Ovis aries: one gene and its partner. Each later gene encodes a partner of the first gene's protein in a complex. Links are inferred from orthologs where the notes say so. Each region holds a gene or a part of one and is shown in the gene's direction. Other genes may lie near its edges.

Region 1 (3,807 bases):
TCAGGAGGAAACCCTGGGTTTTTAGCTCTGCTTTGCCGGCCCTGGATACCTTCAGAAGTTGGTTGGCTTCTGTGAATGCAGAGGACAGAGCTTAGAGAGGCATTGGCGTTCCAGGACTAACTGGGGGTCCCGGGTGCCCTGGCGCGGTAACCTTTGTCATCATTTATGCTCAGGATGGTGCCCTCCTGGCCGCGTGCCACAGTGCTCTCCGCTGCATCTGCTTTTAACCCTTTTCCGTTTATCACTGGAAGTCTGACAGTGCGCTGTGTAAACACCTCGAGGACGACAGCGTTCCGTGATTTCTGTTTCTAGAAGCCTCTTTGCTGACAGTGGTGTGGTGTGGCCTGTGTTTATTAACCATCTGGCTCCTGAGTTATTACCTGGGATTACAGTGAACAGAGAGCACATCTCGTCTCTGCAGATTCCTGTAGCTTGAGACACCCTGATGAGGACGGTTTCCTTTGCTCTCATCCTTACCCCATTTGCTAGAGCAGAGATGGTTCGTTTTAAAGACCTGTGGTTACCGTGATGTCCTTTTAGGCAGGTTAAATGAGTAGCCATCAAAGTGAGTATTAGTCATCTGCAGTGTGCACGTGTTGAAATCCTGTGTTTATGAACTTCAGTTGGGTTAAGTTGTGTTTCTTCTGTGGCCTCAACGTGAAGATCTTAAAGAACGAGGCGAATGCTCGTAATTTTATAATCAAAGCTAATTTGTTTGGACACAGACAGGGAAAGTTGAATCCTAACAAAAGCATGTAGGAAGCATGAAGATGGGTTCTTTCGAAGCTGAGCTGAGTGAGTTACATTTGCACACCAGGTACCACTCACAGCAGATCAGACCAGACTCTTACTCCTCTCCTGTCAGCCTTATGATTTGATCAGAAAGGTAATTCTGCATTAATTGGTTTGGGGAAATGCTCTGTTAAAATTAGAGCCCAGTTACCTCAGGGCCGAGTTCATATTCTATTTCAACATTTCTCTTGCAACTTAAAAAATAAGAATAAAAGAAGGTGTGTGTTTGTGTCTGTGTGCCCGGGTCTCTGTGCCAGTCTTGCATTCTCTCGTGGTGGTGAAGATTTATTTTCATGGTTTCATTTTTTTTCCCTCCCTGCCCGCCCCCGCCCCCCCCCCCAGACTGTGTTGCTGAAATTCGTTGGTTTGCGTCTCTTTTTCCTCCGTCTCCTTGATAGGAACCATGCTCCCGGTTTTCTGCGTGGTAGAACATTATGAAAATGCCATTGAATACGATTGCAAGGAGGAGCATGCAGAATTTGTGTTGGTGAGGAAGGACATGCTTTTCAACCAGCTGATAGAAATGGCCTTGCTGTCTCTGGGTTATTCACATAGCTCTGCTGCCCAGGCCAAAGGTAAATAATGCATCCACGGGGTTGGGGGAATTGCTTGGCATCCTTTGTTTACCTTGCAGAGAAAGCATCTGAATATTTTCATTCAAAGAACTGTAGCCTGTGTGTTACATGGGTTCCTTCTAGACTGTGGCTTTAAAAAATCGGCTTAATTCGGTTTGGTTTAGTTAACACGCATTTTGCTCATGTGGAATGTGGAGGTAGGTTTTTTTTTTTTAAATTACTTCAGCTGAATCATTAGTAAGCTTATTGACCTTAATAATCTGCTCCACTGAGGACCCACAAGGAAGTGAGGAGCGTATCTGAGCAGATGGACTGTTGAGAGTCAATTTGCATTTATGACTGAATATCTAGTTCTGTTTCTTTTATTCTGTTTCTGATGGTTTTATGGGCTGTAAAGTATTTTTCAATGCTGATTCCCATTGCAATCGAGAATCTTATCTAAATCGTAAAGCCATTTAGAACTGGTTCAGCTATGTCTTATTAGAACTTCCTGTAAGTTAGGAAAATGTGGCCTCTGCCTAGGTTTTATTGATGGGGTTTTATTTCCAAAATAATAAACAGCCCCACCGTCATTTACATAATTTCACAGTTTGGAAAACTGAGCTGAGCATATTTTCACTGACCTGCCTTTTGGAGGGAAGGGAATCATTCAGACAGAAGTAACAGTATTGCTTGTGGTGGGGGCAGTGAAAAGCAGGCTGGCAGTGGGTAGGTTATCTGAAGGGCCAGACCTGAGTGACACACGCTCTTTATCTGGAACAGGGCTGATCCAGGTCGGGAAGTGGAACCCAGTCCCCCTGTCTTACGTGACAGATGCCCCCGACGCTACGGTAGCAGATATGCTTCAGGATGTGTATCATGTGGTCACATTGAAAATTCAGCTACACAGGTGAGTCAGGAAAGCAGTTCCAGCGCAGAACGTTCTACTCACCTGATCGTTTGAAACAAAGTATCTCTGGCCAGCCTTCAGCTGTGACTCGCCCTGCATTTCAGAGAGGCTAACCCCAATCGATTTTGCCACCTCCCCCCTTTCTCCTTTATCTTCCTAATCTGAGCCCATCGTTTAGAAGCAGTGTTCCCCCCAAATGCATCTACTTGTGCAGGTTATCAAAAGACAAGACTTTTTCTGTGTAATCAATTAAATGATGCATTGCGAGAAGGCATTTTACATAAAGTTTACTTAAGAGAAAAATATTTTTGCATATCATGAACAGTGCCATCTGTGTACACTTTGTGAAAGAATGCCTTATTCACTATTGCCGAGCTCTTATTTATTTATATGATTTTTTTTAACCGTCTTAATTCGTACGAGCGGAGTCCTGAAGGGAAAACGGTTCCCACGTTCGTGTTTTCACGATGGCTCTTGAGAAAGCAGTACACCTTAAATTGTCTTCCCAAGCGCATCCGAGCAGGAAGGTAGAAGTAACATGGAAAAATAGCCACCACAGGCAGCTGATGTATAATTCATGCATCGATACAGCAGATGTGTTGTATAAAGTAATTAACTAATCGGAACAATCAGGAGACCGAGAGCAATCTCCAGATGCATCTGTTTGATGCGCAAAATGAAATCTGTCTGTCTTAAAGGAATGTTCTGCAGCGGGATGCAATCTTGTCATAATCCCCTTTCTACTCTGTGTCTCCAACAGTTGCCCCAAACTGGAAGACCTGCCCCCCGAGCAGTGGTCGCACACCACCGTGAGGAATGCGCTGAAAGACTTGCTGAAGGACATGAATCAGAGCTCCTTGGCGAAGGAGTGCCCCCTCTCACAGGTACTGGGCGTCGCTGGCACTAAATGACAAGCCATTGAGGGCAGCCTCGTTGGAGGAGTCGTGGGAAGCCATAGTCTAAAGCAGCTGGTATCGGAAGCAAGAATCTCCCCAAAATGCAAAGTGACTTGACCACCGGTGACTTTCAGAAGTGTGTGCGATTCATCCTGACAGTGTGGGAAAGAAAGGGGAGGGAAAGCCGCTCAGCAGAACTTTGCGCTAGCTCACGTGTAGATCCCTGCTCTGAGTGTTCTGAGATTGGACGCTTTGTTGTCCTGAGGGCCCGTATTTGAGGGAATAAGGGTGGTGTACCTTCCTGGAACCCCTAGATGCCAGGAAGCACCTTGGAAGTGTTACTTTGCAGAACGTCACCATGCTACCTGAATAAAGAAACAGAATAGCTTCTAGGTGCTTTCTTCATTACCACACAAAGGAAAAAGAAGAAGAAGAAATAGAATTTAGAAAAAAAATTACACAGAAAACAAATCTCTTCTCTCTAATTAAAGGTTAGATAGTTATTATTCATCAGGATTCTGTCACCAGTTTTATCCATTGGTTCAACCTCCCGCCCCCACTGTTTTTCTTTTCTTTAGTGGGGTCATACGTTTTCCTCTGAGATGCCTGTCATACTGTCAGGGGTTTCTGAAATGAGACGGAGATTTATGATTAT
Region 2 (4,607 bases), on another chromosome or scaffold:
TCTCTCTAGGTCTTTTCTGTTTGGCTTCTTCCCCTCTCAGTTTTTCCTCATTGATTGACCTTTTTTTGTCTTTTTGCTTCTTTGGCCACAGCCTCCCCACTGTCCCCCACCCCCCACCCCATCAACAACAACAGAAATCTGGCCCATTACTGCTTCTTCAACCTAAACTTCACAGTTCTCTTCCGGAGCTACAAAGAAGTCGTCACGTGACCCGAAGCCCAACCACCATTGGGTCTAAAATGAAAACAAAGGAAAATGATTAATCTTAAAAAAAAATTCTGAAGCCTAGACTTCTCAGGTCAAACCTTAAAACTAAAGTGAAATTAAATCACTAAATAAAACTCAGGACAGAGGGAGAGGAGGCCTGTTTGATTTCCCCCGCCAGGGTAAGGGGAGAGGAGGAGGGTGGGAGAAGCTATGGATCCAAGCATACATAAAATGGTCCCCAGGCTAATGTGCCGCTCTGTTTCCACGATCCTTGGGAAAACTTCATTTCTTAGTCGTGGTTCCATAAAAGTTTTATCACATTGGAGCGAGGATAGAGAGGGTCTGTCAAAGATGAAATGTCACCGCCGCATCGCTGGAGCCGATAAGAGCTAGGAGACAGGGAAGCTGAAATATGGAGCTAATTCGTTGAAAGAGAAGCGATGGCTGCTTGCTGAAGAGTTGCATAATTCTAATTGTAAGCGATGTTCTAGCATTGCTTAATTAGGAGCATATATTTGGTGGTAGAGATGGTGGGGGTGGGGGGCGTGTTGGTGAGAATCATTCCAGGCCCTCAGCCTTAAAGCCAGGGCTGATTTTCATTTTTATGTTGTATCCTGGCAGTCCAAGGTTAGTAATTATAGCCTTTATGCAACAATAAATAACAATAAAAAAGCAACCTGAATTCTTCACCCCACCCCCCACACCACCACCAAGTAGGATTTTAACTGGACTAGGCTCATCCAAGCAGCAAGCAATTTAGCACTGGGTCAAGCTATAATTTAAAGGCATAAGAGCGTACAAAGTTTGATTGGGATCAAATAACGTTCATGGGTTTTTCTTTCTTTCTCTCTCTCTTCCTCTTCCCTGAATAACATTTTCTGAATGGTGTTAACTAGATGAAGCGCCTTGTTTGGCTCTAGATGTAGACTGGACTGATTTTTTATCTAGTAGGAGAGGGGCAGGCCAAGTCAGAAAGTTTAACTTGAGTTTGAAAAACAGAGCTTTGGCTTGAAATTGGAATTGCAATCAAGAAAAATAAGGGCCACCTTGGCTTGGTGTCCTCCTCCCTTCTCTCTTAGAGATTTCAGCCCCTAGCTAAGCAGCCAAAGTCGAGGGGAAAGTATCTGTACAGTAAGATTCACAGCACAACAGGGGGGCGGGGAAGCGGCGACTCTGGGAAGGAAGGTTCTCTTGGCCCCTTTTAACACCCAAGTTTTCTGCTGTTCTCTAATCTGGCCGTAAAATCTGTCAGCAGGGTTAGAGAGAGCCGTATTTCCTGCAGGGACAGCCGGAGTTGTTGCGGAGAGAATCGCTCAACCCTGCAGCCAGCTGGAGAGGCTGTGAAAAAACTTCCAGGGCTTCTCAAGGGGGTGGCCGGAGGGAGACCCCTCTTAGGCCTCCTGCACAACCTGCAGACAACTACTCTTCTGTGCCTACTCCCCACTTCCACCCCCGTCCTCACCTCCAAGTGGCAAAAATTACTCTTTGGAGCCGAGCTGGACACAACCGTCTCTGGCTAGTTTGCCCAGTTTTTCAGAGCAGCTCCCTTGGATCTGAGCCCTCCAGAGCCTGCCGCCCCCGTCCCTGCAGCCCCCACGTCCAGCTCCCCCCTTTTCCTCCTGGCTCTCCTCCACCCCCACCCTTCTCCTCAGATTCCTCTATCCTTTTTAAACACTCACCCCCAACCCACACGGATGAATACTTACCACCACCCACGCGGCTGTTACACTGACACAAAGTTTCTAGTTCCAGCTCCCGGCCGAGTTGCCATTTCTCTGCTAACCAGCCTTCTCCTTGCTCGCTGCCGAGCAAGGAGGGGGAGGGGAGGCCGGAGCCGTGGGAGTTCTCCAGAAAAACTTTCCACCCAACCCAGCGCCTTTCCTCTGTCCCCATTTCCCATCTGTTTCCCTGCTCTCCCAGAATCACCTTTCTCTTTCGCTAACACCCCCCACCTCCAGGCCTTTTAAAGGGATGGGGAATTTCGGCTGTTCCCTCTGCTTTCCCAAAGAGCCAAATTCTTTGATGCCATCGGAGGGAGCTGTCAGGGGGCTAAGATTGATCGCCTCATCTCCTCTCGGTCCCTCTGACCCACTTATTTAAAAATCTTACCCCAGATCGACATTTCATTTTCTGCTTTGAGATCTAGTTTCCCACCGATTGCTTGGGGCTGTGAGTCTTGTACCCATTCCCTCCAGTAAATTACAGCACTCCCTAAAGTTCATACTATCTTGAACTTCTGAAAAGAAATAAAAACAACAATTTCCCCAGGGGCTAGAAATGAGATATCATCTTTGATCATTATTTTTGCACCCCCTCCACAGAGAATTCTATCTTGTTGGGGGTATTTATTTATACATACATACAATGAGGAAAATGGCAAGGGCATTCCTGTAGGGGGGAGTACCCCCTTCCAATACATTGGCCTGAAGTTTGAGAGTTCTTTAAGTCAAATTGGGAGCTACCTTGGTTCTTGATTCTTGTTCCTGTTCCTGGATATAGATGCAGATACAGGCTTGAGGCTTGAGAGGGTGCATATGCATCTTCAACCCTGTTTGCTGGGGTGTCATAGAGGAGCCCGATGCCTCCAGGTGAGGAGGCAGGTAGACACAGGGGCAGGGGCAGTGCTGCAAATGCTGGGCAGAGAAGGGAACCGAGACTTCACAGCTCCACAGGCCAGAGGCCCAAAAGGGCTCCTCACTGTCTATCTCACTCCTCTGTGTCAGCCTAGGAGTGCTTGTCGATTTTCTAAGATTTATCTGTTGCTTTTGGGGGGTGGGTTGGGGATAGTGATGCTGATGATTGTAAATCTCTTCTCTTCCTTATTGCACTGTAACACAGACCTTTCCCAAAGGGGAAAACCTCTTTCTACTACCTCTTCCTCCCATATTGAGATCCTCACTCAGCTTTTTTTTTCCCCGGGGGTGGGGGCAGGGAATGCTGCTGGCCTTATAAAGAAAGCTTTACTGTATTAAAAGTATTTGAAAAAGAGGAAGACTTCTCCCTTAGGTTCTCTTGTTTCCTGGGTTCCAGAACCTCCCCTCCTCTGATGGGGATGAAGAAAAGGTTCCTTCAGCTTTTCTGGAGAAAGCGGGGCATGGGGAGCAGGCATGTAGGACTGGGGGGCTCATGGTGTCCAGGTCATGGTCCTCTAGAGTTTTTGAATCAATTAAAGCAAATAATGCTCTGTTTTCTACCAGGCCCAGACGAGTGATTGGCCAAGGCGGGTCCCGTGACCATGAATTCCCTGCAATTTCGCTGGAGTCCTGGGTTTAATAGAGAGAGTCCCCATACGCTTGTATTTATCAGCAATATACAATTATAAAGACCCAAAATTTAAAAAAAAAAAAAAAAGAGAGAGAGAGAGAACAAAATCTTCCCCTCCCAAAATCGCTGCATCACACAAACCTGGGGGGGGCAGGAGGGGGGGTCCCTTCCGATCCTCCCTCCTGACGCCCCCCCAGCAGGCCCCCTCCCCCACCATTGAAAGCCATGAATTTTGAATTTGAGAGGGAGATTGGGTTTATAAACAGCCAGCCATCGCTCGCCGAGTGTCTGACTTCCTTCCCCGCTGTCTTGGAGACATTTCAAACTTCATCAATCAAGGAGTCGACATTAATTCCTCCTCCTCCTCCTTTCGAGCAAACCTTCCCCAGCCTCCAGCCCGGCGCCTCCACCCTTCAGAGACCCGGGAGCCAAAAGCGAGCCGAAGATGGGCCCGCTCTGCCGCCGCTGCCGCCGCTCCCCGCCGCCCCCCTGGCCCCCGAGTTCCCCTGGATGAAAGAGAAGAAATCCGCCAAGAAACCCAGCCAATCCGCCGCATCTCCCCCGGCCGCCTCCTCCGTCCCGGCCTCCGGGGTCGGATCGCCGGCAGGTCGGTAAGCGTGATAGGGGTTGGGTGAGGGGCAGCTAGAAAAAAAGGGGGAGAAGGAGCGATGGGGGAGGTAGAAAAAGGTGTCGAGCCTGTTGGGGTTTCTTGCCCCTGTCGATTCCAGGGACGAGAAAGCAGAAAAGATCGTTGTGGTTCAGGCCTGGCCGCTGCCAGCATTTTTTTTTCCTTTCCCTACAGCAGATTTTGGAAGCTGGTTGGGGAAGAGCATCTTTTTCTGCTAGGAGAAAAGGATTCTATTGAGGTTTCACATTTAGCTGTGTGGAGGAGTGTTGTTGGATGGGGTCGAATCTGGAGGCAGGAAGAGATTCAATCCCATCTACTCTAGCTCTAGGAGAAGTGGGGGGATTTGAGAGCTGGGGGCTAGGGAGGAGAAGAGGTGAGGAACAATCTTTCTTTATGAATCCTCTCCCCAGGCTGAGTTAGAAAGTGCTGAAATGAGGGATCCACTTGGAGGACCTGGGAGGGGCTCTGAGGTTCTGGGGGCGAAAGGGAGCCGCTCCCTAACCCCTGC

Evidence for each region.
Region 2: SATB1 (region 1) and HOXB2 share a complex: the UniProt entries of both Homo sapiens proteins name them as parts of the nuclear protein complex. The link is inferred for Ovis aries from reciprocal best matches to the Homo sapiens genes SATB1 and HOXB2.

What each region holds. Positions count from the first base shown.
Region 1 is NC_056054.1:276,534,344-276,538,150, reverse strand, and holds part of SATB1 (DNA-binding protein SATB1), read left to right. Parts: intron 1-1,190; coding exon 1,191-1,367; intron 1,368-2,129; coding exon 2,130-2,256; intron 2,257-3,016; coding exon 3,017-3,140; intron 3,141-3,807. UniProt on the Homo sapiens protein: Crucial silencing factor contributing to the initiation of X inactivation mediated by Xist RNA that occurs during embryogenesis and in lymphoma.
Region 2 is NC_056064.1:37,675,219-37,679,825, forward strand, and holds the start of HOXB2 (homeobox protein Hox-B2), read left to right. Parts: upstream 1-1,793; 5' UTR 1,794-3,696; coding exon 3,697-4,078; intron 4,079-4,607. UniProt on the Homo sapiens protein: Sequence-specific transcription factor which is part of a developmental regulatory system that provides cells with specific positional identities on the anterior-posterior axis.